4 linked regions of the Arabidopsis thaliana genome follow. The protein of the gene in region 4 interacts with the protein of the main gene of each other region in a biochemical or structural test. Each region holds a gene or a part of one and is shown on either strand. Other genes may lie near its edges. The genes, in order: MPK4, CAM8, AT2G41090 and SHP1.

The links.
Region 1: of the proteins of SHP1 (region 4) and MPK4, one has a biochemical effect on the other in vitro, tested with the Arabidopsis thaliana proteins (one large-scale study listed by BioGRID).
Region 2: the proteins of SHP1 (region 4) and CAM8 form a complex in vitro, tested with the Arabidopsis thaliana proteins (one large-scale study listed by BioGRID).
Region 3: the proteins of SHP1 (region 4) and AT2G41090 form a complex in vitro, tested with the Arabidopsis thaliana proteins (one large-scale study listed by BioGRID).

What each region holds. Positions count from the first base shown.
Region 1 is NC_003075.7:564,119-572,576, reverse strand, and holds MPK4 (MAP kinase 4), read right to left. Parts: upstream 5,661-8,458; 5' UTR 5,359-5,660; coding exon 5,186-5,358; intron 5,055-5,185; coding exon 4,925-5,054; intron 4,857-4,924; coding exon 4,719-4,856; intron 4,530-4,718; coding exon 4,197-4,529; intron 4,117-4,196; coding exon 3,933-4,116; intron 3,861-3,932; coding exon 3,688-3,860; 3' UTR 3,430-3,687; coding exon of another isoform or gene 3,013-3,429; 3' UTR 2,855-3,012; coding exon of another isoform or gene 2,711-2,854; 3' UTR 2,573-2,710; coding exon of another isoform or gene 2,501-2,572; 3' UTR 2,336-2,500; downstream 1-2,335. Other genes in the region: AT4G01390 (TRAF-like family protein), read left to right, coding at 982-1,006, 1,092-1,221, 1,315-1,463, 1,566-1,848, 1,937-2,103, 2,187-2,335; AT4G01380 (plastocyanin-like domain-containing protein), read left to right, coding at 2,501-2,572, 2,711-2,854, 3,013-3,429; BPS3 (BPS1-like protein), read right to left, coding at 6,384-7,430. UniProt on the Arabidopsis thaliana protein: The ANPs-MKK6-MPK4 module is involved in the regulation of plant cytokinesis during meiosis and mitosis. Essential to promote the progression of cytokinesis and for cellularization (formation of the cell plate) during male-specific meiosis.
Region 2 is NC_003075.7:8,393,135-8,400,726, forward strand, and holds CAM8 (calmodulin 8), read left to right. Parts: upstream 1-4,577; 5' UTR 4,578-4,665; coding exon 4,666-4,744; exon of another isoform or gene 4,745-4,828; coding exon of another isoform or gene 4,829-4,853; coding exon 4,854-5,011; intron 5,012-5,432; coding exon 5,433-5,513; coding exon of another isoform or gene 5,514-5,561; exon of another isoform or gene 5,562-5,571; intron 5,572-6,724; coding exon 6,725-6,862; 3' UTR 6,863-7,092; downstream 7,093-7,592. Other genes in the region: GLP9 (germin-like protein 9), read left to right, coding at 8-546.
Region 3 is NC_003071.7:17,131,787-17,138,287, forward strand, and holds AT2G41090 (Calcium-binding EF-hand family protein), read left to right. Parts: upstream 1-3,560; 5' UTR 3,561-4,036; coding exon 4,037-4,112; intron 4,113-4,215; coding exon 4,216-4,576; intron 4,577-4,693; coding exon 4,694-4,832; 3' UTR 4,833-5,213; downstream 5,214-6,501. Other genes in the region: EEL (Basic-leucine zipper (bZIP) transcription factor family protein), read left to right, coding at 1-98, 185-256, 342-422; AT2G41080 (pentatricopeptide (PPR) repeat protein), read left to right, coding at 816-2,768; AT2G41082 (uncharacterized protein), read left to right, coding at 3,039-3,143; TCH3 (Calcium-binding EF hand family protein), read left to right, coding at 6,345-6,420.
Region 4 is NC_003074.8:21,734,361-21,743,117, forward strand, and holds SHP1 (K-box region and MADS-box transcription factor family protein), read left to right. Parts: upstream 1-3,799; 5' UTR 3,800-4,415; intron 4,416-4,522; exon of another isoform or gene 4,523-4,771; coding exon of another isoform or gene 4,772-4,789; coding exon 4,790-5,016; exon of another isoform or gene 5,017-5,556; intron 5,557-5,905; coding exon of another isoform or gene 5,906-5,943; intron 5,944-6,112; coding exon of another isoform or gene 6,113-6,149; intron 6,150-6,314; coding exon 6,315-6,396; intron 6,397-6,549; coding exon 6,550-6,611; intron 6,612-6,740; coding exon 6,741-6,981; intron 6,982-7,064; coding exon 7,065-7,106; intron 7,107-7,214; coding exon 7,215-7,406; downstream 7,407-8,757. Other genes in the region: AT3G58770 (uncharacterized protein), read left to right, coding at 1-823; GAUT15 (galacturonosyltransferase 15), read right to left, coding at 8,095-8,379, 8,472-8,757. UniProt on the Arabidopsis thaliana protein: Probable transcription factor. Interacts genetically with TT16/AGL32 in a partially antagonistic manner during flower development. Is essential for the coordination of cell divisions in ovule, seed coat development and endosperm formation.

The sequences.
Region 1 (8,458 bases), on a different chromosome or scaffold from region 4:
TAAAATAAAACTTCCAAAATATTTAATATCATTTAATTACTACAAAATTATCATTTTTGATATTGGTTTCTCCATGACTATAACAACTCGATTATAATCATCAAAACGCAAAGATATTTGATAACATTTAATTACTACAAAATTACAAAATATTTAGACAATAATTCATAAACGTATCATAAATAAGATCAACATTAATAAAATAAATAGTTTTTTTACGGGACGGATTGGCGGAACAGGTTTGGCATGACGATACTTAATAACAATTGTAAACTATAAAATAAAAATATTTTATGTATAGATTCAATTTGCAAACTTTTATGTATAGTAACTTTAATAAATAAATTGTTCCCGCAGTGTACTGCGGGTTCAAATCTAGTAATATACTCCCTCTGTTTCATATTAGTTGTAGTTTAAGGTTACACACAAATTAAGAAATCATAAAAATCTCATTTAATATACCTCTTTTATATAAAAACTTCATTTATTATAACCAATTCAACCAATAAAAAAATAGATGATTAAATATAATTGGTTAAAAAATATTAAATACATTTATTATTTGCATAGAAAGTTGAAAACAACACTTAAATTGAAAAAAAAAAAAACCGTTAAACTACATTTATATAGAAACAGAGGGAGTAGTAATTTGAAAAGAATAATAATAATAAATGTTAAAGTATTTCTTTGAGTTGAGAATTTAGGTCGATTTTTACGAACATATGCTCAAATGTGACGTATAAATAAATGCGTATCAATATTGATGCTTTGTTCAATTACCAAAAAAAAAAAAAAGATGTTTTGTTCGATTCGATAAATGTTGGGGGCAAAACAGAGAGATGAGCAAAACATGGGATCCCGATAAATAAATAAAGACAACTCTTGTCCTTGTATAAATAGACTTGCATCTTCAAGATATATATGTACAAGTCTCTTTACACCTAACAAGACACAGTACTAAATCATTTGCAGCTTCTTACAATGTCGCGACCAATCTCGCTTGAAGGTGAAAACATAACTTATGTTGTGTCTGATGATCTCTTAGTATCATTATGAGTTCCAAGTTTTAATAATTTTCTCATTCTTGACAGAAATGGTGAGACTGTTCAAAGTACGTCACGCAACAGCTCACATGTTCAAGATAGACCATTTCTCTTTACTCAGAAAGCATGGAATCGAAAAGGTCGAGTCCTCTGTTTTCGATCTCGCTGGTCACAAATGGTGAAGTTGTTTATAATCTTGTTATTATGCTTATTGACATACAAAAGAAAACAAAGATGGTGATCATCCTCTTAACGACTTGATTGGTAACAGGAAACTCTCTGTGCACCCAAATGGCCATACAAATGCTAAGGGGACACATTATGTCTCCCTCTACTTAATGAATCAAGCTCCGGTATATGATACGCTTACATATGAGCTTCTTGCCGTCAGTCAACTTGAGCCAAAATGGCACACTCACGGTCTCTCTCACTCTCTCTCTCTCTCTCTCTTGCTTCATTCAATCACGCATACATCTGTGTGTATATAGGTTTGATACGGCGTCCATATATGTTGATGTGCAGGAAGAGATGAATACGAAACCAATGAAGAACTGGGTAGTGAGGGGTTTCGTGAGTTCATATCTCTTGTTGATCTTAAGAAAAATGGTTTCCTTATTGGAGATTGTTGTATGTTTGGTGTCAAGTTCCATGGGATTGAACCTGCTAAACCCGGAACAGCGGAAAGTTTTAGCTTAATAGAGAAGCCTCTTAATCACAGAGTCACTTGGATGATGACCATGTTCTCGTCCTTCAACCCTGGAAACGTTCATCAGTCTAATGAATTTGTCGTTGGAACCCGGAAATGGTTGATATTATATTCCTCCTTTTTCCCAAAAACATAACACAACTTATATATAATACTAATAAAAATGCATCACAATATATTTGATCAGGAGAATTAAAGTTCATCCAAGAGGGTCTATGGGTGAAAAAGACAAATCATTTTCTGTGTATCTATCGGCACTAGGGTTTGTCAATAATGCACCAAAGACTAAAACTTACGCGAGGTTCAAGCTGCGTGTATTGGATCAAGTTAGCAGGAATCATGTTGAGAAAACAAGTATGTGTTTATTATGTTTTGGAAAGTCTTGTGATGCATGATGGTTAAATACAGTACTAATCTTTTTCTCCTGGTACGTATAGTTTCGGGTTGGCTTGGTGCAGAACCTGATGACCGCCATGGCTTTGCGGATTTCATGCCTCTAGGGGAACTTGATGACCCTTATTTGGTGAAGGATAAGCTTTATGTGGGAGTTGACTTTGATGTCATTTCCGTCTCTAATTACTGTTAGCTATATAATCAGCAAGAAATATTTATAACGTATGAATAAAATGCTGGAGAATATATATAGTACTATTATGTAACTAAGCTACTGATGCCGTAATGACTTGTGATGTGTGTCGACGTACGTGTTGCTGGAGATGAAGATGATGTGCTTGGCGTGTATTTTCAGTTTATGGGCATAACAAGACAATCTACAAGATTTCATAAGCCCAGTTTATCAACTATAGAGACTTGGTTCTCAATCGTTATTGTTTCTTGTTAGTTTTGTTTTGCAAATAAGATCTTGTTTTTTTTTCAAGGAATCGTGAGCATTCCATTGCTTTTACTACCTATATATATGAGAAAAACGCCAAAAGAAAAGACATAATTTGTTTGCCAAAAGAAACTTGTGTTCCACGTTGGGGATTCTTTGATCTTCGAACACAATCACAACCTCAACGACGTCACTCAAGTCTCCGGCGCTTTGGAATACGAGTTCTGCGACTCTTCTTCTCCTAAAGCCGTCTACAACCCTGGACACGATATCGTAACCCTCACGGAACCAGGTTTTCACTAGTTCATCAGCTCAAACCATGCTCAATGCGCATCGGGACAGAAGCTCGACATTCTTGTCGTTCATGACTCGTCACGTCCCATTCCTCCAACACCACCGAGCAAGATCCTTCCTCCTTGAAATATCTACAGAGTTGGTGTGGCTCCAAGGGATGGAGTGTTCCGCAAGAAAGTTACTTTTATTACAGATGGAGTGAGAAGACGCAGTTTCCGATCGGAGACAGTCTTCTTTTCGAATACGACAACGAAGTCAACGACGTCTTAGAGATCAGCGGGGACCTTGAATTCATATCCTGCTACCCGATTTCTCCCGTAGCCGTGCACATGACAGGCCACGATCTCGTCACGCTCACAGAACCAGGAGTCCATTATTTCATTAGCTCTAAGACTCCAGGTCACTGTTACGCTGGGCTTAAGCTACGAGTCGTGGTCGGACCACTCACCAAAGCCGTACCTGTCCCCAATGTTCCGACGAAGAAGATAGAGTTGTCACTTATGGACCGCTTCAACAGATGGTTACGCACCTTCGGACCTCAACCCCATCATTAAGATAATTAGTGGATGTAATTAGAGTTAAGACTTCTCTGTATTTTCTTTCGACTAAAAAGTAAGGAAATTTAAATACACTCTATTGCAAAACACAGCTCAAAGGTTGTTCTTTTCTTTTTTTCCAATTTTTTAGGATGTTATTCAAATTACAGACATATTATCAAACTTATCAGAGATTTGATAACAAAAGCAGAGCAAAACAAAACATAGCATTTTGATGAGTTTCCTTTTAAGGATATATATCTCTCTCTCTTTCTCTCACACTGAGTCTTGAGGATTGAACTTGACTGTTTCACGGTATATAAGCTCCTTAATGTTCTCTTCTGTCAAAGTAGGTTGCTCGAAATCAAAATTGAACGGCCTCACACATACCGGTTCTTCGTTGATATCATGCAGCGGCGCCAAATATGGGTGGCACAACGCCTCATCAACTACACACACAAAAAACATGTTCAGAAAATAGCCGAAGAAACAGAGAAGCAGTTATATAAAATATAACTCACCTGTGATGCGTCTGCTTGGATCAAAAACAAGCATTTTCTCCAGCAAATCGACTGCACCAGCCGACATGTTTGGGAATCTAGCAGCAAAGTTCTGTCTAGGGTACTGTGGAAGCTGTCTAACGTATCTTCTTGCATTGTCACTTCTTAAGAATCCCAAGCTTGAGTCATCAGGAGATCCTATAAGCTGCTTTCCAAAGATTCATTAATACCGTGAAGAGAGACTAAGTGGTGATTCTTTGGATGAAACATACTAAACTAGATTACCTCAGTGATGAGTCTAAGCTGATGAACATAATCTTTACCGGGAAACAAGGGCTCTCGTGTCATTGTTTCACCGAGTATACAACCGACAGACCAAATATCAATTGCTGCTGTGTATTCAGAGCAATTAAGTAGCAGCTCTGGAGCTCGATACCAACGTGTAACAACATATTCAGTCATAAAGTCAGTCTCGGATTTGGTCCTCGCAAGCCCGAAATCCCCAAGCTTTAGATCACAATTTGCATTCAGGAGCAAATTGCTAGGTTTCAAATCTCGATGCAATACATTAGCTGAATGAACATATTTGAGCCCACGCAACAACTGATACAGAAAAAACTGCAAAACATAATCGAAACTAATTACTAAACACAACTTCAAAGCATAACAAACGAAATCCTTATTAGCTCTCACTTATAAAGTATCAAGCAATACTCATCAGATGCTCTAACACAATAACAGCTGCTTCTAAAGTAGAAACAGAAGATTCAGCTGCTAGATATAAGCAAGATGGAGATTGATGCATACCCGACAATGATCATCAGTTAAGGGTTGGTTAGAGCGAATAATTTGGTGGAGATCAGTGTCCATAAGCTCATAAACAATGTAAACATCATTGAAGTTCTCTCTCTGCGGTGGTTTTATTATATCCTTTACAGCAATCACCTGCACAATAAACCAATATAAGATTCACACAAAAAAAACCAGAGATGCTGATGATTAGTAACACGTACATTTTCATGATCCATATGCTTGAGAAGCTTAATCTCTCTCAAAGTCCTTTTAGCATCGATAATATTGTCAAAAGCATTACCAATCTTCTTGATAGCTACCTCCTCTCCAGTCTCTGAGTTTGTAGCAGCACTGATCAACAATTATCAACACAAGTTATTATAATAACAACAGATTCCAAAACCCTAATTCCCAAATCTAAGAACCCCAGAAGTGAACATTACATGTTTCAAAAACCCAATCTGATTAATTTTGGAACTCACCAGACAATTCCATAAGCGCCTCTACCGATAGGACGAAGAGGAGGAACATACTTTCTAGAAACTTCGAAGAGATTGCCATAGACATTATACTGAACATAGCTACCACCATGAGTAGCCACTCCTTTGCTGCTGCTTTGATCACCCGAGCTTCCGAAACAACTCTCCGCCGACATCGGAGCAAAATTCCTCACAACAACGAAAACGAAGAACCCTAGAGAAATTGAGGAATCGAGAAGATGGGTGTTGACATTTCGTTATAAAGTCTCTACCTTTACCCTTTTTTTTTTATTGAACGGTAAAGAGGAAGTCTCCTCTCGAGTCACCCGTGACCCTTAAACCGGGTTTGCGTCTTCTTCTTTGGTTTTTGTTCTTTTTCTTTGTAATGTCAATTTTCAATTTTGTTTATGGTATCGAGTTGGGTATATCCGATGATTGTGTCTCTAAGTAATTGAGGAACGGGTAAGTGTTTTTAGTCAATTGGTTAAGTTTTGTTTACTGGAGTTTGCTTCTACTAAATCGCGTTATCCCACGAAGTAGAGATTAGATATGGTTATGACTTTTGCCGAAAAAATGTAATTGATGAAGTTTGTAGAATGGAACAAGTTAATGACTTCATGTAGGAATGTTCTTGATATCATATTATAAAGTTTAAAAGAATCTAGATGACAACTTTTCTCCAATAAGAATTTAAGTACGACTTGGTATATTGGTGGTGTACAAGTCAATGGGCGGCCAAATTGTTTTTGACCATAAAACTGACCTTTGATTCCAAAACCATTAGTGAAAAAAGGTTTATGTATAAGATAAAATGACATCATTTTGATTTTTTTTAAAAAATCATGGTTAAACAACTTATATAACCATGTTGAAGTTTGGTGCATTTGTTATTATTAATAGCTAGAATATCTGGTTTGCTTTGATTGATTGATCATGTAACCATGAAAATAACACTGATTTTTTTTGGTCTAGTGATTTACAATGGGCCTCAAGCAAACCCATCACTTATCCATTATCAACTAAGATGAACTAAAGCACAATTCTGACTAACTTGAAAATGTAGTTATAGCTTAGCACCGATTGAAAAGAGAGAGTTATCAATATTTGAAGCGTTTTAAAGTCTCATTTTTATCTGCATTTGTTATTACTTAACATCAACGATACCATAATTACATGTTTCCTCTATATTCACAAACAAGTCTTAGCTCTTTTCCTCTATATTAACACTTTTAACCATCGTTGGCAATGTCACTCCTAGCTCTTCTGCGCATTTCGTCCACAGGCTCTCCAACAATGCGTCTCGGGCAGAGATCACCATCTTCGACAAGCAACGTGTTTCCTTGGAGACTAGCTCAAACCTTTCCGAAAGTTCTATCACTGACTTCTCCAATGGTTCCACTAACAAAATAGGAACCGACCCTTCTTGTACCGCTGTGTAAAGCTTCTTCACACCGGTTTCAACAGCCTCGAGATCTTTTATAACCGTGAATCCGTCTGATAAAAATGTGTTTTTGATCTCCGGGTTAATAGTGTTCTGCAGTTCCATGAAAGCTTGAACCCATGGAAGCTCCTCCATCTCCTTTGGAATGGTTAGATAGAAGAGATTCTTGGAAGAACCCGAGAACGATGCATCAAACACGCTGAATATGTATAAAGTCTTGACCTTTACACCGTATAAAACTCGTAAGAGAACTTTTCCTTCCGCAGAGTATTTCTTCTTCCCCTTCTTGGAGATATGATGATGATGATCCATCGATTCAACCAGCCTACTCAAAACCGCGCCCCAGTTTTCGATACTCGGGTTCTTGGAAACCATGTGCTGATTCCAACGCTGAAGAATATTGCCACTGTTTGTCTCCAGCTTACTAAAAGCAAACTTTAGTAATAGATTGCCATGTTCCAAATGATATATCTCTGAGGTAAAGGCGTTGCAGAGTTCCCGCTTCAAGCTAAAGTCAGAGAAGATATAAATGAAATTCTCCTCCAAATCCGATACTGGAACCTCTAAATCCTTCACGAGCGTCCTGATACTCTTGTGTGTCTCACAAAGAGACTGCATGGCTTGTATCATCCAAGAAACACTAACGATATCATTCTTATCCTTTGGTACAAGTTCTCTAATCGATACCGTCAAGTTAGTCTCGAAATTGTTCAACAGTGAGAGAAGCTTTGGCGATAATCGAGCATTGTTCTTCTTCGTAAACAGAATCTTGAACGGGTTCCGAGAGCGTGTACGTTGTTGGCTCATATCAACTGAAAACACACAGAAAGAAGAAACAAAGTTAGTAATCTGAAACAATGAGCAAACCAATAACATTGTTCTGAATCCAAAATCCGAATCAATAGATCTCAAGAATGCAAAGACAGAACAAAAACCATTACTTTAACCAAACTCGCCGAAGATTAACGAAAACTCACCTAAAGAAAGAGATTCTTCCGAAATGTTACCGCTTACTTCAATGTTACGCTACTTCAATGAAGGAGAGAAAAAAACCCAAAAGAAAGTATAAATAGGAGATGGGTTTAGTGTATGATAATAAAACTTGAAACGCGTTCTTATAGGGAGGAATCAAAGAAACGTGCCGTGTGCTGCAGATCAACGCAATCGCTACTTTAAGTCCCGCGTTGGTTTTGGTAGTTGTAAAGGATTTTTCCGTTTCACCTACGCGGCAGTGACGAAGAATAGAGACAAATACACACGTTTACGGTTCTGATGTCTCAGTTATAGTAGATTTTTCCACTCAATCGTTGACATTTGTCAGCATAACGCTCTATAAGAAAAAGTGGTAAATATAGCCGCCGGATATTTATCAATCCAAGGGCTATAAACTTCTGGTTTCGTCTTTAAAACAATTCTTTATTTTGAGGGTATATTTGTCATTCTCACGTTGCTTTTCAAGCTTATATTACTGGGCCGCGTTGGGCTTTTATTGGGTCAAAGCGACAAGTGAGTTTGATATATTTCTTAGCGCTAAAGTAGATGAAATCTTTGGAAAGCCTTCGATGAATCTGAGAGGCAGCATATGATAGATTATATAAACAAATATAACTAATTTATATCATTGAATATATTTAAGATGTAATTTGATATTATTTATAAATTTTCTTCTTTAGTATAAAATTGAAAACAAGTATTTATACTATTAATTGGGAAGTATTTTGTGAACTACAACATTATAAGGGTAGTTTAAAATTAACTAAATGAAATTTTACATGGGTAATTTAGTAAATTAACTACTACTAAATGAATTTAGTTTCCATAAAAATCAGGCTATT
Region 2 (7,592 bases), on a different chromosome or scaffold from region 4:
TGTCTAGTGTTTGTGAATGGAAAGTTTTGCAAGGATCCAAGGATAGTTTTCGCGGATGATTTCTTTTTCTCGAGCCTCAACAGACCTGGAAATACAAATAACGCGGTTGGGTCCAACGTGACAACCGTCAATGTTAACAACCTTGGAGGACTAAACACTCTTGGTATCTCACTTGTTCGTATAGACTATGCACCCAACGGTCAGAACCCACCTCACACCCACCCACGTGCCACCGAGATCTTGGTTGTTCAACAAGGAACTCTACTTGTAGGGTTTATCTCATCAAACCAAGACGGAAACCGTCTTTTCGCCAAAACACTCAACGTGGGTGACGTATTTGTGTTTCCAGAAGGACTCATCCATTTCCAGTTCAACCTAGGAGGAACTCCAGCAGTTGCAATCGCTGCTTTGAGCAGCCAAAACGCAGGTGTTATCACAATTGCTAACACAATATTTGGGTCTAAACCAGATGTAGACCCGAATGTTCTTGCAAGAGCATTCCAAATGGATGTTAATGCGGTCAGGAATTTACAAGCCAGGTTCTAATAATGTAATAAGAAATATAGTCTTTGGAATTACTTTATTAATACAAGCATGGTTCAGCCGTACTGTGACATGTATATGATGTTGGTTGTTGTTTTATCTTAATAATATTTTGGTCATTGATTAATTAATTTTCTATTTGTGTTAAACTATTAAGCATGTTGTGCATAACCTTCGTGTTTCTTCAGGAAAAAGTTAATTCTTGTATTATAAAATTAACTAAATATAATTATAAATTCATATTACTAATAAAAAACATGAATTTAGATACACAAAAACTAATCTATATGTGTGGGTAACGAAATGTTTTATAGTAACAAAAATGTATATCATTCTTTTACCAGTATTTTAGATTAAATTTAAATAGAAAACAAAGAATAACATGTGACCTACTCATGTATTTTCACAAAAAAAAGTTTAAGTATTTTTATTATATCCAGAAACAACAATAATTTATGAACTTTACAAGAATGATGATATTATTTTTGCTTCTATGAAAACAATTATTATTATTTTTGGTGGGAATGAAAAATAACTAATAGTTTAGAAATACCTAGAATGTTTAGAAAAATTTAACGATAAGTTTGACCCTCCTAAAAAATATTTATGTCTCCGCCATTGGGTGGAGAAGAGATCAGAGTTACTGTGTGACGATAGAATAATAATACCCAAACAAGGAGAGTTAACAATAAATATTTCTTAGATTGATTTCCCCAAATGGATAAAGCAGCGTTACAGAATGTATGCAAGGAAAATCCAAAGTATTTCAATACCCAATCTCAATAATGCAAATGTGAGCTTCTCACTGAAATTTTCTTCTCTCAAGCATTTAAATAAAATAGTGCAAGAAAGAATCATCAAGAGTTAACTATTTCCAAAGACGTAAAAAAGTTTTGATTTTCATTTTGCCAGTAAGTAGCAAAGTATCGTTTTTTTCACATATTTGTTTAGCAAACCATAGTCCAAGACCCAAGAATGAAAATGTCTTGGTTGAGAAAATCAGCAGATTAATAGGCTTGTTCTTAGACGCATAATCTAGCAAATGCTTTACGCAATTAAGCAGATATATAGATTTTTATCGAAGCTTTCCCCAAAACATAATCTCTCAAATACAAAATCATATATAACCGCTGGTTTAACCTACATTTTTTATTAGTTACTGAAAATTCTATACAGTGGTTACAAATACGAGAGGTTTTTTGGGATTAAAAAAACTCAAGAGTATAATCTGAATTTTAACCTATAATTTTAGTGGCAAATATAAAATTTCTTCTCTCATAGTCTCATGTTATTTGTTATGTGAATAAGCTAAAGCTCATTTTCAAACTATGCATTCTATTCTTTAAAAAAAGAAAGAGAAAAACCATGCATCATATTTCACAAATATCTATCAGTTCTAATATCATGTCGTGTCGTTTTTCTTAGTCAGAATATCTAAGTTGACGCTTCACATTGAAGACAAAATCAATCCTTTTAGGTTTCCATTGATAGAATGCTTAAAGCTTACAACTTGAGTTTCAGGATGTTTAAATACAAAGGTGGAGACTTGGCTAAACCTTAGAGAGATTTGACAGATGTCATACATCAGGTTGAGTTTTCTAAATCAAGGGTTGAGAAACGATTCTCGAGCTTAATGTTGAACTGCTTTCCCATACAAGAAGTCGTTATCTCCTTATTGCCAGCTCCACTTTTGTCATTACTTGAGGAAACTTCTAAGCTCTGTTTGCTTGAACCAGATGACCGTTGCTTCCACTTTTGTTTCTTGGGCTTGGTTTGTGCTGAGGCCCATCAGTTTCATTTTCCTCTTTACTCCATTAGCCGAAAGGACAACGTACTTCGTTGTCTAAATATTTTGTTGTAATTGCAATGACATAAAACAAATATTCGTTAATTTCCCTATGTTAATTCTTTTAATTAAAGGGGTCAAAAAAGTATTACTAAAGTGAGCTATTTAAGGTTGCAAATATATTTTATCTATATTTTAACCTGAATTATTTTCCCACCTAGGAAGAGTAAAAATGCAAAGATTACTAATGAAGAAAAGCCCCATAATTTTGTTTTTTTTTTTGTTTTTACAATTCGTTTCTAGAAACTCAAAATATGAAAAGTTGAATCGTTTCAAAAAGAAATTGCTGGTTCGTTAATTTGCTACGTCTAATCGTTTATTTATAATTATTTTCTTATATCGTGCTTATGAACTTATAATGCAACGTATGATACATGCATTTCCCCTACTGTTCGAATACCAATTGCAGATTCAATGCAAGTCAGCAAGTATCTCCTAAATTATTTCTTAGCAGTAGATATTCTTCTTAATGATTACAATCTTTTAGCAGTAGATATTCTTCTCAATTATGATATGTGACGTGGAATATATATTTTCATCTGTTATATAAAAACAGTCGCAATTATTCAAACAAAATGTATAGGAAAATAAATAAGTGGTGTGAATATGTGATTCAAATGAATCTGTAATATTCTCAAAATTCCTACCTCCGTGAATTCTAGAAAATGTCGTCGATCGGAACAAATTTGAAAATAGAATGATTTGTGTGGATAAACTTTTAAATCATTGTGTGGGAACGCACGGATTCTACAAAATCATGCTGGCCAAGTTAAGCTTCATAGCCTTAATGCATTCACAGCTATGGACAGTCGAGTTGTACGTTAATATGTCTTCTATGGACAGGAGCGGGTAAGATGGCCAATGAGGTCATTATGTTGAGATGTACGTAGACAAATTTCAATGTTGTTCTTTCTGAGTATTAAAAGAGTGTGATCACTGATTTTGAAGTCAGAAAAAACAAAAGAACATGTTTAAAGCGTCAAGTTTATCGCATCGTCTCGGTTCTCAGATTGTGTATTTGGTAGCTGCGGTGGTGGCTAAATTGCGGTCTCTTTTGTTGACATCACTTGTATTTCTTGACTAGTTATTTGTGCTACCTGGTTTTGAATGTGTCTTGCTAGTGCGGTTCTTCATAATTGAAGTTAGTGCTGCAATGAGTTATCACCTCTTGTTGCGTTTGTTTTGTGTTCTAGAAGAGTTAGTAAGATCGATGGTGTTCGATGTGGTTATGAATCGCATAAATCATGCTCTGCTCTATCCGACTTTGGGGAAAGAAATTGGTAGATGGAGCTTGCATCGTTCGCATAATTTGGTTCTTGAGGTTCCATATTATTGGAAAGCTTATGGACTTGAACAACGAGTCACTGTCACATGACGCGAGAGGAGTTTATGCCAGAGAACTTTGAGTTTCTACCGTTGACGGCTCATCCTTAGACCTCCAATTCAAAGTTTTTAATGCAAATAGTTTAGCATTATGCTTTTTTCAAGCAGTAGTTACCCTTCTTCTTAAAAAAACAAAAAACAAAAAACTTAATTATAAGATAAAATTTCAAAATAGTCATATTTTTATCTAACTCGTTCGGCTTCAACGCTTTGGTTGAGTTGATTGACCAAAACTTGTGAATCACGATGTATGCTTCTATGTTTTATTTTTCTTGTTATAGGATCATTTGTATAGGCTTAAAATCTTTTGATTGTAAATTTATATTTTTATCATTTCAATAAAATATTTTTATTTTTATTTAAGAAAAAACAGAAAAAAACAAAAAACAAAAGAACATAATTGTTGCGTACAAAATGAGTGGCTAATGGGTTTGAACTAGACAGAAAAAGTTAGGGACGTTTTATCAAAGACTATTGTAGGCTTATACTTGTTTGTTTTAGGACTTGTCGTTCTATGTCTATTTGTAGTAGTCTCTACTTGTTAGAATAAGATGATTTTTTCAAAACTAATTTTGCACAAGTGATTTGAACTTTAACAAACAGCGACAATTATTAATTTATTATATGGGATTCAGCCATGTGACTAGAATTAAATTGTTCAATCCAAGAGTTCTAGACCCAAAAAAAAAACAGTACTGCCCTTTCAATTTAAAATAATTTGAGAATCAATTAAAGAGCTTAAAGTAGTTGAAAAGTACATAAGTCCAATGTAGAAAAGGTCTTGTCACAACTCTACATATAGACCATAAATCAGAGATTTAAGCACTTCAAACCTTGAGCTCCCTCCTCTCTCTCTCTCTCTCTCTTTGTCTTCAAAATATTCTCAGAAAACAATGGAAGAAACAGCACTGACAAAAGATCAGATCACTGAGTTCAAAGAAGCCTTTTGTCTCTTCGACAAAGACGGCGACGGTTCTCTTCCTTTCTCTAGATGGTCATATATAGAATAAAGATAATAAAGACGACGACTAATATTATGTTGTGTGACATTTATTTATGGTTGTTTGGAATCCTTTAATAGGTTGTATAACGGTGGAAGAACTTGCAACAGTGATCCGTTCGTTGGATCAGAATCCGACAGAACAAGAACTTCATGATATCATCACTGAGATTGATTCTGATAGCAACGGCACCATTGAATTTGCTGAGTTTCTCAACCTCATGGCCAAAAAACTTCAGGTTCCACTCTCTCTTGATCTCTCATGCTTATTTATTTCACAACTAATTACATCAAGTTAACGTAGCCACGTACAAACCAAAAAGTTACATCAAGTGAAATTTTTTTGTCTATATGATTTCTTATATATTATGTTATAGGTCCCTTATTGTAACTCTTTGATATGGGATCCTAACAGGTTCTAGTCAAAATGGAGCTGTCTCATTCATTATGCTTCTAGTTTATTAAAAACTCTTAAGAAATATATTGGAAATATTCAGCTTTTGTATTACAGCAAAATCTGTTTTGCTTTCGGTTTTTCACTACGAATAAATCTGATTTGTGAAGAACTAGACACGTAAATGTGTATAATGTAAACAAAGACTTTTATGACAATAGTTTTTTTGTATGTTAAGTTGTTGTCATGATCATGTGATGGTTTAGGAAAGTGATGCGGAGGAAGAGCTGAAAGAAGCATTCAAAGTCTTTGACAAAGACCAAAATGGATACATCTCTGCCAGTGAGGTCCGTGACTCTTACTCTCTTTTTTTTCTCTCTTTATTACTAATTTGATATATGTGTCAATGTGTATATTTAGTTAGATATATGCTTGACTTATTGAGAACTTAAAAGGGAACTTATGCGGAAAATCCTCTTTAAGAACTTATAAAAACAAATTAGTTCGATGCACTGGATTGCGTTTTGTACAACGTTCTCCAATAATACCATGTACGGTCTAACTGTGTTTTTATTTGGTTATAAATGATTAGAGCTATAATTATTTAGATTTTTGTATCTACTAGAAATCCTTATCTAAATTTTGGTTATTGTCAAATTTAGTTTAGGTACATGAACCAATTTCATAAATGTCTTCTTTGCTTAAGTGGTACATGCTCTATATCTCTAAAGTGTCGTCAAATACAGGCTAAGCACAATAATTATGAGCATAGTATTTTTATGTAACCACTTGGACCAATTAATTCTGCATTAACTAGAAAAAACGAGAAATCCAGCTAAAACACACTTTCACATATGTAGAATCAATGACAAATATCAGACAACAAAGCCAGACGATCTTCCAATTTAAAGAGATCCATAGTTGTCTCATTTATGTTCTAAAACATTTTTTAACAAGACATGGCCATTTATTTATTTGATTTTATATTTTCGAAAGTCTGTTTTCCATCGTGAGGGCTTAGAGCTAGCTGGCATTGTGAATCTTTAGAGAATAACGAAGAGGAACAAAAGAAATTTTAATACAAAGTAGTTAGATAGAGTAAAATGCGTTTGATTTTATTGGTTTATTTGACAGGAGGGCACATGTTTCACCTAGTTTAATTAAATATATATACCTTTCTTTACATCCTCAAAAGTTACATTAATGCAGACACCTTTTTGCATGCAACACAATTCAATTTATTAATTTGGGGTTTTCTATATCGATTGGTCAAAACTTAGGCTAAAACCAGCTGTATTTTGCTTACAACTTAAAAAAAAAAAAACTAAACAATTGTATGAATTTGGTTTATTCATATTTTTCGTACCGAAATTAGAAATTGTTCAAGTTAGGCCGTTTGACCTACTATATTGTATTGCATATTCAAATGGATAATAAACAATTATTATTCTCTGTACAGGGTCAGACCCGTCTGATTAACATGCACAACTTAATTTACAATAATTAGACTAACAATTACGTTAATTATTTATTAATTTGAAAAGCTTTGTTATTGCAGTTGAGTCATGTAATGATAAATCTAGGAGAAAAGCTAACAGATGAAGAAGTTGAACAAATGATAAAGGAGGCAGATTTGGATGGTGATGGCCAAGTCAATTATGATGAATTTGTCAAGATGATGATCAACATTGACTGATTACTTTTTCTAAATCTATTTATTATATAAGCCAATGATCCTTAATTACCTTGTTAGTTGTTACTACTTCGTGTTCACACCATCTCAACAAATTCTCCATTATTCCACATTCATTGAAATTTTCAGATCCAGTTTTGTTTTATCACTTGTGAAGCTGTCAAATCCAATATAATCTCTATATTATAGCTTTCTCTATATGATTTTGGAATTCTGTTTATACATAGTTTGTTTCTATATTATAGCTTTTTCGATATGATATTTTTCTTCTTCTTGCAATCTTTGATTATAGGTGTTTCAATATGATTTTGGAATTATATTTAGCGAATGAATACGAAACACAATTTTTTTTGTGGAAAATGCAAAAAATCTTAAAACAAAGCAGCATATTGAGTTTATGTGAATGCTAAAGTATTTGGATATTATTTTCCTCATGAAAGTGAGGAGTTGAACTCCTTCACTCAAACGAAAATATCTAATGGCTAAACCACTAGTCTAGACACTTTAAAGAATAATTGAAAATGATTTATGTAAAAAAAAAGAAAAGTGAGACTGTGAGAAAGCCATGCCCATATAATATTTAGTAAGAAAATAATAATAAAATTACAGGTAGTAAAAAAATTTCCACACTTTATCAAAAACCCCTCAAACAGAAAATCCCAATTTAAGTATACAGAAAAGAGAAAACCCAATCCACACTTTCACTTATTTCCTCCCAATTTCTCAGAATAAT
Region 3 (6,501 bases), on a different chromosome or scaffold from region 4:
GAGTAGCTGGAGAGATTGTGGAGAAGACTGTTGAGAGGAGACAGAAGAGGATGATCAAGAACAGAGAATCTGCAGCACGTTCACGAGCTAGGAAACAGGTTAAGAACTTGACATTGTGTTTTTACTTAGTTAATATTTGTTTGTTTGTTGTTAGTTGGTCTAGTCATCACATTGAAACTTGCAGGCTTATACACATGAATTAGAGATCAAGGTTTCAAGGTTAGAAGAAGAAAACGAAAAACTTCGGAGGCTAAAGGTAAAAATCCCATCTCTGCAGCTTGCTTCATGATCTAGTGTCGTTTTAGATTTAGTGGTTTTCTTTAATCTGATTATAATGGCAGGAGGTGGAGAAGATCCTACCAAGTGAACCACCACCAGATCCTAAGTGGAAGCTCCGGCGAACAAACTCTGCTTCTCTCTGATCCTAAAGACTCTTCTTTCTTTCTTCTTCTTTGTGTTGGTTTATATCAGACCGCTTTGTTCTTTGTATATTGTGTAGACTTTATTGACTTTGAACAGCATGTCTTTATAAACATTTCTTGAGTGTATTCCTCTTTTGCAGCTAGTTCAAACTTTTTGAGTACAAACACTAGTTCAAGTATGAATTCGACAATAGTTTTAGTACCTTACACAATTAAGCAATAGATTGATGGTTATGCTAAACCGTTTTTGATACTTGGTTACTAATACTTATTGGGCTTCTGATTACGGCCCAATTAAATCGAGTGTCTAATTATTCGTTCCTTCTTCTTCTTCGAGCAACGACAGTCCCTGAGAATCCAAATCGGAAACAATCTCCGGCAATTCAATAGTAAATGCGTTGCTCAGTTTCCTCTGTTGTTCGTCCACTATCAGTAGATCCTGCGACAGCCATAGCTACTTTGTGCTCAAAGGGTAACCTTCGAGAAGCTTTCCAGAGATTCCGACTCAACATCTTCACAAACACTTCTCTCTTCACCCCTTTTATTCAATCATGCACCACCAGACAATCTCTTCCGTCCGGAAAGCAGCTCCATTGTCTTCTCGTCGTCTCCGGATTCTCCTCCGACAAGTTCATATGCAATCATCTGATGAGCATGTACTCCAAGCTTGGAGATTTTCCTTCCGCTGTTGCAGTATATGGACGTATGCGTAAGAAGAATTATATGTCATCTAACATACTCATCAATGGGTATGTTCGTGCAGGCGATTTGGTAAATGCCCGGAAGGTGTTTGATGAAATGCCTGATAGAAAGCTCACAACTTGGAATGCTATGATTGCTGGTTTGATCCAGTTTGAGTTTAACGAAGAGGGTTTGAGTTTGTTTAGGGAAATGCACGGATTGGGGTTTTCGCCTGATGAATATACTCTTGGTAGTGTTTTTAGCGGATCTGCTGGGTTGAGGTCAGTGTCTATAGGGCAGCAGATTCATGGCTACACGATCAAATATGGGCTTGAGTTGGATTTAGTTGTTAATAGTTCGTTGGCTCATATGTATATGAGAAATGGGAAATTGCAAGATGGCGAGATTGTTATAAGATCAATGCCGGTTCGTAATTTGGTTGCATGGAATACACTCATCATGGGGAACGCGCAAAACGGATGTCCTGAAACCGTGCTTTATCTGTATAAGATGATGAAAATCTCAGGTTGTAGGCCGAACAAGATCACATTTGTAACTGTGCTCAGTTCTTGTTCTGACTTAGCGATAAGAGGTCAAGGTCAGCAGATTCATGCGGAAGCTATTAAAATTGGGGCTAGCTCTGTCGTAGCTGTAGTTAGTTCATTGATCAGTATGTATTCAAAATGTGGGTGTCTTGGAGATGCAGCTAAAGCTTTCTCGGAACGTGAAGATGAAGATGAAGTGATGTGGAGCTCAATGATTTCTGCTTATGGGTTTCATGGACAAGGCGATGAGGCAATCGAGCTGTTTAATACTATGGCAGAGCAGACGAACATGGAGATAAACGAGGTCGCGTTTCTGAATTTACTTTATGCGTGTAGTCATTCTGGCTTAAAAGACAAAGGGCTTGAGTTGTTTGACATGATGGTGGAAAAATACGGGTTCAAGCCAGGTTTAAAGCACTACACTTGTGTGGTGGATTTGCTCGGTCGAGCAGGCTGTTTGGATCAAGCCGAGGCAATAATAAGGTCTATGCCAATAAAAACAGACATTGTTATATGGAAAACATTGTTATCTGCGTGTAACATACACAAAAACGCAGAAATGGCACAGAGAGTCTTTAAAGAGATTCTTCAGATTGACCCTAATGACTCTGCTTGTTACGTCCTGCTTGCAAATGTTCACGCCTCAGCTAAGAGATGGCGCGATGTATCAGAGGTGAGAAAATCGATGAGAGATAAGAATGTGAAGAAAGAAGCGGGAATCAGCTGGTTTGAACACAAAGGTGAAGTTCATCAGTTTAAGATGGGAGATCGCTCTCAGTCTAAATCTAAAGAGATCTATTCATACCTGAAAGAACTGACTCTGGAGATGAAGCTGAAGGGATACAAGCCTGATACAGCGTCAGTATTGCATGATATGGATGAGGAGGAGAAAGAATCAGACTTGGTGCAGCACAGCGAGAAACTAGCGGTTGCATTTGCGCTCATGATATTACCTGAAGGTGCACCGATTAGAATAATCAAGAACTTGCGGGTTTGCAGTGATTGCCATGTTGCTTTCAAATATATATCGGTGATCAAGAACCGAGAGATCACGTTAAGAGATGGTAGTAGATTCCATCATTTCATTAACGGAAAGTGTTCTTGCGGCGATTATTGGTAGCTGGGCAGTTAAAGTATGCTATGACTCTCTGCTTCAGAGTCTTTCTGGAGTCTTAAGCACTCAGATTGGATCGGGAAGCCATCTGGGACGAAAGCATTCAGCAGCAAGGGTAAAATTACACTGCGGGTAGTAGCTTTGTAGTCTACCTTGAGATTGCTCCTGCCTGTGTTATTCTTGAGTCAGGAACATGAAGTGGTTTGCTGTCAACTTTACTTACTCAAGCCATCTCCGCAAGGTAGAAACTATGGTTCGCGTTATTTCGTATGTACCATGTTTTTGGTCGTTTGTGTAGTTTCTAACCTTCCACACCCTTGGCTTGCGATTCTTTCCAAAGCAGAGATGTTAGATCAGAGGATGGAGTGGGTTCTCAAGTAGAATGCACTTGCGAATCCCTCAGATCAGATTTTTCATAGGTAAAGTTCGTTAACTTCAACAACACCACTTTAGTAAACATGTGATAATCAATCGTCATAAGCATCTTCGATTCATTTTTATCTTATGCAAGTGTTTGCTTTATTATGATTTGTTAAGTTTTGCATAAATACGGACGTTGAAGCACTTCCCAGAACTCATGAGTGTTTTTATAAACTATTTATTAAAAGTTAGTATAAGAAAACTATAACATAAAAGTAAAATATAATTTAGACAAATGTAGCGATTGGTCCAGTTACTCATCCAAAATTCCAAATGAATCTTCCACCGTTGATAATTCTATTCCATTGTTTTCTTCTGTAGAAGACCATATATTATTAAGTCTCTAGTCCATTGTCAATAAATGGAAATACAAAAAAAAAAAAAAAAAAAAAAAGAAGAAGAAGAAAAAGACAGCATTTAATGAACGAAAATAATATTAATGAATTTGGAAGAAGGAACGAACCAACGAGAAAAATCAACGAAATAATTTAGACAAATGTAGCGATTGGTCCACTACCCATCCAAAAGTCCAAATGAATACTTCACCGTTGATAATTCTATTCAATTGTTTTCTTCTGTAGAAGACCATATATTATTAAGTCTCTAGTCCATTGTAAATAAATGTTTCTTTCAAATAAATGGAAATACAAAAAAGAAAAGAAAAAAAAGACAGCATTTAATGATGATAACGATTTGGAAGAAGGAACCAACCAATTAGAGTAACAAACCAAGGAGGCGACTCACATGAAAGCAAAAGCTGACATGGCAGTGAATTCAGTTTTATAAAAAAGGCTTCAAGGCCGAGAGTTCGTAGTACAAACTCTTCTCTCAGTCATCACAGAAAATAAAAAACAATGGCGAATAAGTTCACTAGACAACAGATTTCAGAGTTTAGGGAACAGTTCAGCGTATACGACAAGAATGGTGATGGTATGGTTCATCGTCTCTATTCCTCTAATCGTACATATTGGATCCTGAATCATCTTCAAAGCACTGAAAATGACTAACACAAGTCCTTGATTACTTCTTGTAGGTCACATTACCACAGAGGAGTTCGGTGCCGTGATGCGTTCCCTCGGTTTAAACCTGACCCAAGCTGAGCTTCAGGAGGAGATCAACGATTCGGATTTAGATGGTGACGGAACCATCAATTTCACTGAGTTCTTGTGCGCAATGGCTAAGGACACTTACTCTGAGAAAGACCTCAAGAAAGATTTCAGACTCTTTGACATAGACAAGAATGGTTTCATCTCAGCTGCTGAAATGAGATATGTGAGGACTATCCTCCGGTGGAAGCAAACTGATGAAGAAATCGATGAGATTATCAAGGCAGCTGATGTTGATGGTGATGGTCAGATCAACTACAGAGAGTTTGCCAGGCTTATGATGGCCAAGTGAGATTTAAACAACTTTTCCGCTTCCCCTTTTTTTACTACCTCTTATCTAATTTCATAAAGAATGTTCCTCTCTTGTTCTTAAATTTCATTCTGAGTTCTTGTGTGTATGGCTAGGAATCAAGGTCATGATACTAAATATGACACAACTGGTGGCACTTTGGAGAGGGACTTGGCGGCCGGGGTTGCCAAAAATATCATCGCAGCGCCAATGACCGACTTCATCAAAAATTTGTTCGAAGCGTTGTTTTCTTGAAATGGTACATCAGTAACTTTATGCCATTAGGGTCTGGCTGGTATGTTAGATCTCTCTAAAAAGGCGTTTGATCTTTGAAAATAATTTCTATGTAATAAATTTATTGTGTTACCATCTTTTCTTGCATGCAATTTATTAAAATGAGTTTGTAATATGGTTTCAGTATCGAATATAATTGGGGTATCAATGTATCTTTTGAGAAAAACATTTAAAACGTAGCAGAACTAATTATTGAAAACTGGTAGCATTACTAAAAATTGATCTAAATCGGTTAATGATTTGGCACATACAGTGATCAAATCAGCTAAGCCTCATATCTCACCGTCCCAGAGTTCTTCAAGACTCTTATAAGGACTCATCTAATGAATAATGACATGCCTCGCACCAACCTGCCCTGCAACATTGAAAACACACGTCTACAATTTCGATAACCCAAGTGTTTTGAGCAAAACAAAGGACGCCCTTTGACCCATTTGGACTACAATGTGTGGAAAATTACTGCATGTTCAATATCAGAAAACTTGGATAACATGTCTTCGATATGGGCTTTTCTTATTTTGTACCCGTGTAATTTCGCTGGCCCAAAATCCAAAGCAACAAGGGTAAATTTGTATGCAGTACATGTGGCATGTTGGGTCATATGGAAACAGGTCACAAGACTCAGATTCTTTACATTGCGGCGGGTAGTAGTAGCTTTCTAGTCTACCTTGAGATTGCCCCTGCCCGTGATTCTTGAGTCGGGCACAGGAAGTGGTTTTCTGTCAACTTTACTTGCTCAAGCCATCCCCGCAAGGTAGAAACTTCTGTGGTCTTTCTCGTTATTTCTTATGTACCATGTTTTTGGTCGTTTGTGTAGTTTCTTCTAACCTTCCACACACTTGTCTTGCGAATTCCTTCCACAGCAGAGATGTTAAATCAGGAATATTCAGGATGTAGAAACTTCTCTGCTCTTTCTCAAGTAGAATGCACTTGTGGAATCCCTCAGATCAGATTTCATTGGTAACGTTCGTTAACTTCAACAACAACACTTTACTAAACATGTGCTAATCAATTGTCATACGCTTGTATTTCTTCGATTCATTTTTATCTTATGCAAGTGTTTTCTCTATTATGATTTATTTAGTTTTGCATAAATAAGGACACTCCTTCGGAGTCAGTATAAGAAAACTATAACCTAAAATATAAATTAGGCAAATGTCCACTCACCCATCCAAAATTCCATTGTAAATAAATGTTTCTTTCAAATAAATGAAAAAAAAAAAAAAAAACAAGTTGGAAGAAGGAACCAACCAAGTAATTGCCAGTCAAAGGAGGCGACTCACACTTGAAAGGATAAGCTGACATGGCAGACAACGATCCTGCGTAGAAATTGCGTGAACGTGGAAAAGTTTGAGGATATAGCCGTCATTTCAAATAATTCGGGTACTATTATATAAGGCTTCAAGTCCTGGTTCGTAGTACAAATTGTCTCACAAACTCTTCTTTCAGTCATCACAGAAAACAAAAAAAACAATGGCGGATAAGCTCACTGACGATCAGATTACAGAATACAGGGAATCTTTCAGGTTATTCGACAAGAATGGTGATGGTATGGTTCATCAACTCTTTCCATTTAATCGTAATGTTGGATCATGATCATCTTCAAAGCAATGAAATGACTAACACAAGT
Region 4 (8,757 bases):
AAAGCGTGATGATTTGTGTTTACAAAACACTCAAGCAACAATGCGGCTGATGGGTAAGGATGTTTCTGTCAGCACAAGTTACTCAGGTATGATTAGAACGGGTGAGAGGATCATAGGACCGGATGCTTCTATAGATTATTCCTCTCTGGGGACCTATACTCATCAAAGCTGGGTATGTCAAAGGACAACTCTTGAAGTTTCAGAGAATCATTCAACCACAATATTGGATAAGAATTGGAACAAAGCTCTGCTACGTGATACTTCAAAAGATCCCTTTCCTTTGTTTTGTGAACCACTTGTCAGCTTGGCTTCTCAATCCAGAGCATATGCTGTTCCTGATTCAGAATTTCCTTCCACAATCCTGAATCCATGTTGCTCGCTCGCGTCTTTTCCTTTGTCTGAGAAGAATCTCAACTTCCATGGGTCTGGTTTAGGGCCACCAAACAGTTTCACACTCAGCCAGCAACAACTACCTTTTCCATATGATTATAACAATGTTGATATTGGTCTCCTACCTGATGCTAGAAAACGATCTTTCGGATTGCCTTTATCGAGTACAAATTCTGCTAGACGGTCACAGACTCCTTGGGCTCAAAGTTCATCTGAGAACTCTTGTTCTGAATTGTCTTTCGTCAACCCCAGCGAGCAACTAACGTCCTTCTATGGGTCAAGGTTATCTTCGTCCATAAACGTTGGAACTACAAATAAGCGGGTAGCACCCGTAGAGGAGTATCCAATGAAGAACCATAAAGTCCCCAAGTTGCTGCCAATGCAAGGTGGCTTAAATTATGTTAAAGAATTTCTTTGCAGGCCAGCAAATTAGGAAATCACTAATCTAGGAGTCTAAGGGTATATAGCCTTGTATTGTTTGAACCATCCCTTGTGTGTTTTATGAATTATTTGGTGTTAGTGCCTTACTCGGAATGAATTGTTGTACATGATTGCCTTGTTTAAGTCGTACAACACCAAAAGCTTCTAGATCCGTATAAGCATGCGAGTCCCCTCTAGAAATTCTGCGTTTGTTCTGTATACTACTATGATTCTATCTGGAATATCTGGATCATCTAGCTAGCAATTAAAGAACATAAATCGGCATCAAGATAAATTTGTTCTTAGTGTCATGTATCAATTTGGAATCCATAAACATTCTTATATGCACGTTATTCAAGATCACCAGGAAGAATCTTGAGTGAGATAGTAAAATAAAGAATATACTCCAACAGACCCAAAACAAAAAAGGATCAAACTGATGCAAAGAAGATCTGATTCTCATTTGGTCTTTTGTTTTTGGGTTTTATCCTCATTTGGTCTTTCTTCACAAATCCTTACTTATGTGTCTCATTTTTTTCATTTCTGTGTTTTTATCTAAAACACTTTTAAAGAAGTTTTTGAAAGAAGTACTTATATGTGACTTTTTTATTAAAAAAAATAAGGTTTCTCAATTTTTCCCTATCAAAAGAATTGGAATCTCTAGATTTTAGATAAAACTTATTATGCATATATAAAAAAAAATTAAAAAAACAACGCATTTAGACTTTGCAGTAGTCGAGATGCATACAAAATTAACCAGAAGTTGTATTCAGCAGTGGTCAATTTTTTTATAAAAAAAGAAATTGCCAATGATTAAACTGAGAGCTTGTTACCCGTTAGAGTACTTCTAAATGGCTTTAAACTTGCATCTAACAGAAATTAAACTAGAGATATTATTAGCTGGTGAAAATAACCATAATTTTTTCCCGCAAAGATGAAACAAAACATAAGTCCTTCCAAATGTTTGAAATGACTTGGCACAATTTAAGATAAGTTTTGACTTTTGACTAAATGATTAATAGTAAATGCAATTACTAATTACAACGAAAGACAGGGAGGTATGGAACAAAGAGAGTTTCCATTTGTAAACGAATAGTTAATGTGAACTGTGACAAGGGTTGTGGATGATTATGACTATTCGTATGATTAGTCACCATTCCTTAATTTCTTGTTCCCTCAATTAAGTTGTCTTCTCATCATTTTTTTTTAAAATATTCATCCTGAATATAACCAACAAACAAAAGGTTCGAGTATCTATAAATTCCGCAATGCAATCTAAATTGGACTACTAGTGAGATCTGCAACAGTGAAAAGAGAAAACAAAATGGACTTGAAGAGGTTTTGACAATGCCAGAGATAATGCTTATTCCCTAATATGTTGCCAGCCAAGTGTCAAATTGGCTTTTTAAATATGGATTTCTGTATCAGTGGTCATATTTGTGGATCCAACGTATTCATCATCAAGTTCTCAAGTTTGCTTTCAGTGCAATTCTAATTCACACGTTTAACTTTAACATGCATGTCATTATTATTACTTCTTCACTAAGACACAATACGGCAAACCTTTCAGATTATATTATCTCCATAAATGAAATAATTAACCTCATAATCAAGATTCAATGTTTCTAAATATATATGGACAAAATTTACACGGAAGATTAGATACGTATATTAGTAGATTTAGTCTTTCGTTTGTGCGATAAGATTAACCACCTCATAGATAGTAATATCATTGTCAAATTCCTCTCGGTTTAGTCGCTAAATTGTATCTTTTTTAAGCCTAAAAGTAGTGTATTCGCATATGACTTCTCGTCCTAACTTTTTTTTTAATTAACAAAAAAATCGAAAAGAAAATAATCTGTTAAATATTTTTTAAGTACTCCATTAAGTTTAGTTTCTATTTAAAAAATGCTTGAAATTTGACAGTTATGTTCAACAATTTTGAATCATGAGCGATGTCTAGATACTCAGAATTTAATCAAGATGTCTTATCAAATTTGTTGTCACTCGAGGACCCACGCAAAAGAAAAGACTAATATGATTTTTATTTGGTCTGGATATTTTTGTAGAGGATGAAACTAAGAGAGTGAAAGATTCGAAATCCACAATGTTCAAGAGAGCTCAAAGCACAAAGAAAAATGAAGATGAAGGACTAAAGAACAATAAGCAACTACTTATACCCTATTTCCCATAAAGGATTCAGGTACTAGGAGAAGTTGAGGCAAGTTTCACATGCAAGTCCCTGTCATCATATATCCATATTATACCACACCTACGTCTCTATGTGTATTTCTTGGCATCGACTTTCTCATGAATGATTCAAATTTTCATTTATTTTTACAATTTAATTCACCTAAGATTATTATGCATTTCTCATCATTGGTACATTTTCTGTATAGCGTATTTACATATATGAAATAAATTAAATATGTCCTCACGTTGCAAGTAGTTAATGAATGTCCCCACGCAAAAAAAAAATCCCTCCAAATATGTCCACCTTTTCTTTTTAATTCCAAAATTACCATAAACTTTTGGTTTACAAAAGATTTCTAGAAATTGAGGAAGATATCCTAAATGATTCATGAATCCTTCAATAATCTGAAGTTTGCGATATTTTCCGATTTTCTTCAAGAGTTGCGATATTTGTAATTTGGTGACCTTAAAACTTTTTTTGATAAAGAGTAAAACGTTTTTTCTTAAAAGTAAAACTTGATTTTATGTTTTAGGGTTCTAGCTCAACTTTGTATTATATTTCTTGCAAAAAGAGTTCGTTAACTGCATTCTTCAACACTATAAAGTGATTATCAAAAACATCTTCATGAACATTAAGAAAAACAATATTTGGTTTCGGTTAGAGCTTGGTTTTGCTTGGCTTGATTCACATACCCATTCTAGACTTTGGCATAAATTTGATACGATAGAGAGCATCTAATGGTAATGCAGAAGGGTAAAAAAGGAAGAGAGAAAAGGTGAGAAAGATTACCAAAAATAAGGAGTTTCCAAAAGATGGTTCTGATGAGAAACAGAGCCCATCCCTCTCCTTTTCCCCTTCCCATGAAAGAAATCGGATGGTCCTCCTTCAATGTCCTCCACCTACTCTTCTCTTCTTTCTTTTTTTCTTTCTTATTATTAACCATTTAATTAATTTCCCCTTCAATTTCAGTTTCTAGTTCTGTAAAAAGAAAATACACATCTCACTTATAGATATCCATATCTATTTATATGCATGTATAGAGAATAAAAAAGTGTGAGTTTCTAGGTATGTTGAGTATGTGCTGTTTGGACAATTGTTAGATGATCTGTCCATTTTTTTCTTTTTTCTTCTGTGTATAAATATATTTGAGCACAAAGAAAAACTAATAACCTTCTGTTTTCAGCAAGTAGGGTCTTATAACCTTCAAAGAAATATTCCTTCAATTGAAAACCCATAAACCAAAATAGATATTACAAAAGGAAAGAGAGATATTTTCAAGAACAACATAATTAGAAAAGCAGAAGCAGCAGTTAAGTGGTACTGAGATAAATGATATAGTTTCTCTTCAAGAACAGTTTCTCATTACCCACCTTCTCCTTTTTGCTGATCTATCGTAATCTTGAGAACTCAGGTAAGGTTGTGAATATTATGCACCATTCATTAACCCTAAAAATAAGAGATTTAAAATAAATGTTTCTTCTTTCTCTGATTCTTGTGTAACCAATTCATGGGTTTGATATGTTTCTTGGTTATTGCTTATCAACAAAGAGATTTGATCATTATAAAGTAGATTAATAACTCTTAAACACACAAAGTTTCTTTATTTTTTAGTTACATCCCTAATTCTAGACCAGAACATGGATTTGATCTATTTCTTGGTTATGTATTCTTGATCAGGAAAAGGGATTTGATCATCAAGATTAGCCTTCTCTCTCTCTCTCTAGATATCTTTCTTGAATTTAGAAATCTTTATTTAATTATTTGGTGATGTCATATATAGGATCAATGGAGGAAGGTGGGAGTAGTCACGACGCAGAGAGTAGCAAGAAACTAGGGAGAGGGAAAATAGAGATAAAGAGGATAGAGAACACAACAAATCGTCAAGTTACTTTCTGCAAACGACGCAATGGTCTTCTCAAGAAAGCTTATGAACTCTCTGTCTTGTGTGATGCCGAAGTTGCCCTCGTCATCTTCTCCACTCGTGGCCGTCTCTATGAGTACGCCAACAACAGGTACGCTTCTCCTACTCTATTTCTTGATCTTGTTTTCTTAATTTTAACTAAACAAGATCCTAGTTCAAATGATAACAAAGTGGGGATTGAGAGCCAAGATTAGGGTTTGGTTAATTTAGAAAACCAGATTTCACTTGTTGATACATTTAATATCTCTCTAGCTAGATTTAGTACTCTCTCCTCTATATATGTGTGGGTGTGTGTGTAAGTGTGTATATGTATGCAAATGCAAGAAGAAGAAGAAAAAGTTATCTTGTCTTCTCAAATTCTGATCAGCTTTGACCTTAGTTTCACTCTTTTTTCTGCAAATCATTTGAACCTGATGCATGTCAGTTTCTACAATACACTTTTAATTTTGACGGCCCATCAAATTTCCTAGGGTTTACTTCAGTGAAAAAAATTGGGTTCTTGACACGATTTAGCATATATATATAAAAATAGGGGATGATCAAGACTTATGTAACCTCTGTCTGGTGAAACTAGGGACAAAGTCTACTGATGAGTTGTCACTAGGGATCCATTTGATCATTTAATCCCAACAAAAATGAAACAAAATTTTGAGAATTTATATGCTGAAGTTTTTCAACCCTCTTTTTTAAATAACTTTATATTATGTAGATTTGTATTTAGGGTAATTTGTCCAACTAGAAGTCCTAAAAATCAATAAACACACGGATGACTTTGTCTAACATTGTTATCAGTCATCAAATGTAAAATTGTACAAATAATGAAATTAAAGATTTAGTCTCTTTTATTTTTTTTGTTTAGGGTGTATATATATATATATATGTATATTTGTTGCATTGATATATCAATGAGAGGGAGAGAACTCAGAGAAGTGTCGGAAATTAAAATGGTACGAGCCAATTGGAATCTCTGGCATTCTGAGCTTCATTTATTTGTTATTAGAAAAAAAAAAAAAAAAAAGTCCTTTAAAGATACCTTCATGATGACATTGAATCATGTAATATACACGATACATGGTCTAATTCCTCCTCAAACCCTAATTACCAATTTCGAAACCATAATATTTACTAGTATGTTTATATATCCTTACTTTAAGACATTGTTTGTTTATAATACCTTGTGAATTAAGAAAAAAAAAAAAACTTGTGGATCTATTCAAGCCATGTGTTAGAATAAATTTATAAATTTTCTCCTCGTACTGGTCAGATATTGGTCCAAACTCCAAAGCCTTCCCTTTTCAGGAAAAAAAACATTTCGAAATTAACTCTAATTAATCAAGAATTTCCTACAATGTATACATCTAATGTTTTTTCCGCGATCTTACTTATTAGTGTGAGGGGTACAATTGAAAGGTACAAGAAAGCTTGTTCCGATGCCGTCAACCCTCCTTCCGTCACCGAAGCTAATACTCAGGTACCAATTTATATTGTTTGATTCTCTTTGTTTTATCTTCTTCTTTTCATTATATATATGATCAACAAAAAATATAACCTACAAAAAGAGAGAGTTCTTGGAAATGCATTGAAACGGTTTCGTTATGGTGTTTGAATACATGGATTTTTGAAGTACTATCAGCAAGAAGCCTCTAAGCTTCGGAGGCAGATTCGAGATATTCAGAATTCAAATAGGTAATTCATTAACTTTTCATGAACTCTTCGATTTGGTATTAGGTCACTTAATTTGGTGTCGGTCCAAAAGTCCGCTTGTAGTTTTCTTTAGAAGTTGTTTTGTTTAATGTTCATGTTTACAAATTGAAGGCATATTGTTGGGGAATCACTTGGTTCCTTGAACTTCAAGGAACTCAAAAACCTAGAAGGACGTCTTGAAAAAGGAATCAGCCGTGTCCGCTCCAAAAAGGTAAAATCTACGTTGCTCTCTCTCTGTGTCTCTGTCTCTCTCTCTATATATAGTCCCTTAGTTTATATAGTTCATCACCCTTTTGTGAGAATTTTGCAGAATGAGCTGTTAGTGGCAGAGATAGAGTATATGCAGAAGAGGGTAAGAACGTTTCTCCCATTCCAAGTAATTAGATCTTTCTTCGTCTTTGTGAGGGTTTGAGTTTTCCCATAAATCATGTGTAGGAAATGGAGTTGCAACACAATAACATGTACCTGCGAGCAAAGGTTAGCCACGTTCTGTTCCAAATCTTAATCTCAATATCTACTCTTTTCTTCATTGTATAACTAAGATAACGTGAATAACAAGAAAACTTTTGTTTTTGGGTTTAATAGATAGCCGAAGGCGCCAGATTGAATCCGGACCAGCAGGAATCGAGTGTGATACAAGGGACGACAGTTTACGAATCCGGTGTATCTTCTCATGACCAGTCGCAGCATTATAATCGGAACTATATTCCGGTGAACCTTCTTGAACCGAATCAGCAATTCTCCGGCCAAGACCAACCTCCTCTTCAACTTGTGTAACTCAAAACATGATAACTTGTTTCTTCTCCTCATAACGATTAAGAGAGAGACGAGAGAGTTCATTTTATATTTATAACGCGACTGTGTATTCATAGTTTAGGTTCTAATAATGATAATAACAAAACTGTTGTTTCTTTGCTTAATTACATCAACATTTAAATCCAAAGTTCTAAAACACGTCGAGATCCAAAGTTTGTCATACAAGATTAGACGCATACACGATCAGTTAATAGATTTTAAGTGCCTTTTAATATTTACATATAGTTGCAGCTTCGATTAGATCATGTCCACCAAACACTCACAATTAGAGACAAGCAAAACTATAAACATTGATCATAAAATCATTACAACATGTCCATAAATTAATTATGGATTACAAAAATAAAAACTTACAAAAGATCTATAATGTGATAAATTAATGTGTAGCTATAATTAAACAAAATTACATTTTTTACTATAGTTACTACTTGAGATAATGATCTCAAAAAGAAGCTTCATACGCTTAAAGTCTAATTTGATACTGTCCTTTATCTAAATTACTGTTTAGTATATGGACATGAGAGAAATATGAGCAGAGGCTGAAGGCTTAAACCTTCTTCCCTCTGTTCTCTCACACAGCCGCAAGTATTGGCTTCATCACTCAGTTTTCTCTTTTCTTTATATTTGTTTTCTAATCTGTTTTTTAGTCTCAGTTCATGATTTTGCATTTTCTAACGAAGATGTCGGAGGAATTTACGTATCTATACCAAAGAGATCGTACCTCAGGGTTACTGATCTCTAGCCACGGTTTTGCTGGACCGCTGAAATGTAAAACCGAAGCAGATTTCAGAATCTCTTGAGGGGATTTTACGGATCGAGAACCTAGTCCAGCGACGTGCCATGATGGTTCAAGAGACTGTGTAAGTCCTTTGAAAGCAAGTAATGTCGGTGGTAAAGCCCCTGGTTGCCATAATTGTAGTCCTGACCTAACACTCTGCATTAAAATTAAACATCAGAATTTGTGTAACTAGTTAGAGTACGGAATACATAACGCAAAAACTGAGATCGTTCTATATTTACACTCACGAGTCTTAGCCATGTAGAGTAAGCTTCAGTAATATTGGTTTGTCTCCAGGCTTTGAGATCAAAGACATTCATACCAGAAAGCCAAGCACAGTCTTCTTGAACTAAGTTTGATGAGATCAAAGGATGTGAGAAGTTGAAATAGTCTTTGTATTTTCTTCCGGGGCAACAGTTGTCTCCGCACCACGAATCAACGACAGCACCAACAACTTTACCGTTGAGATCCGTTTCCCATAAAGACGAAAGATCGCTCTGTACTACTACATCATCATCCAACAACACTATCTTG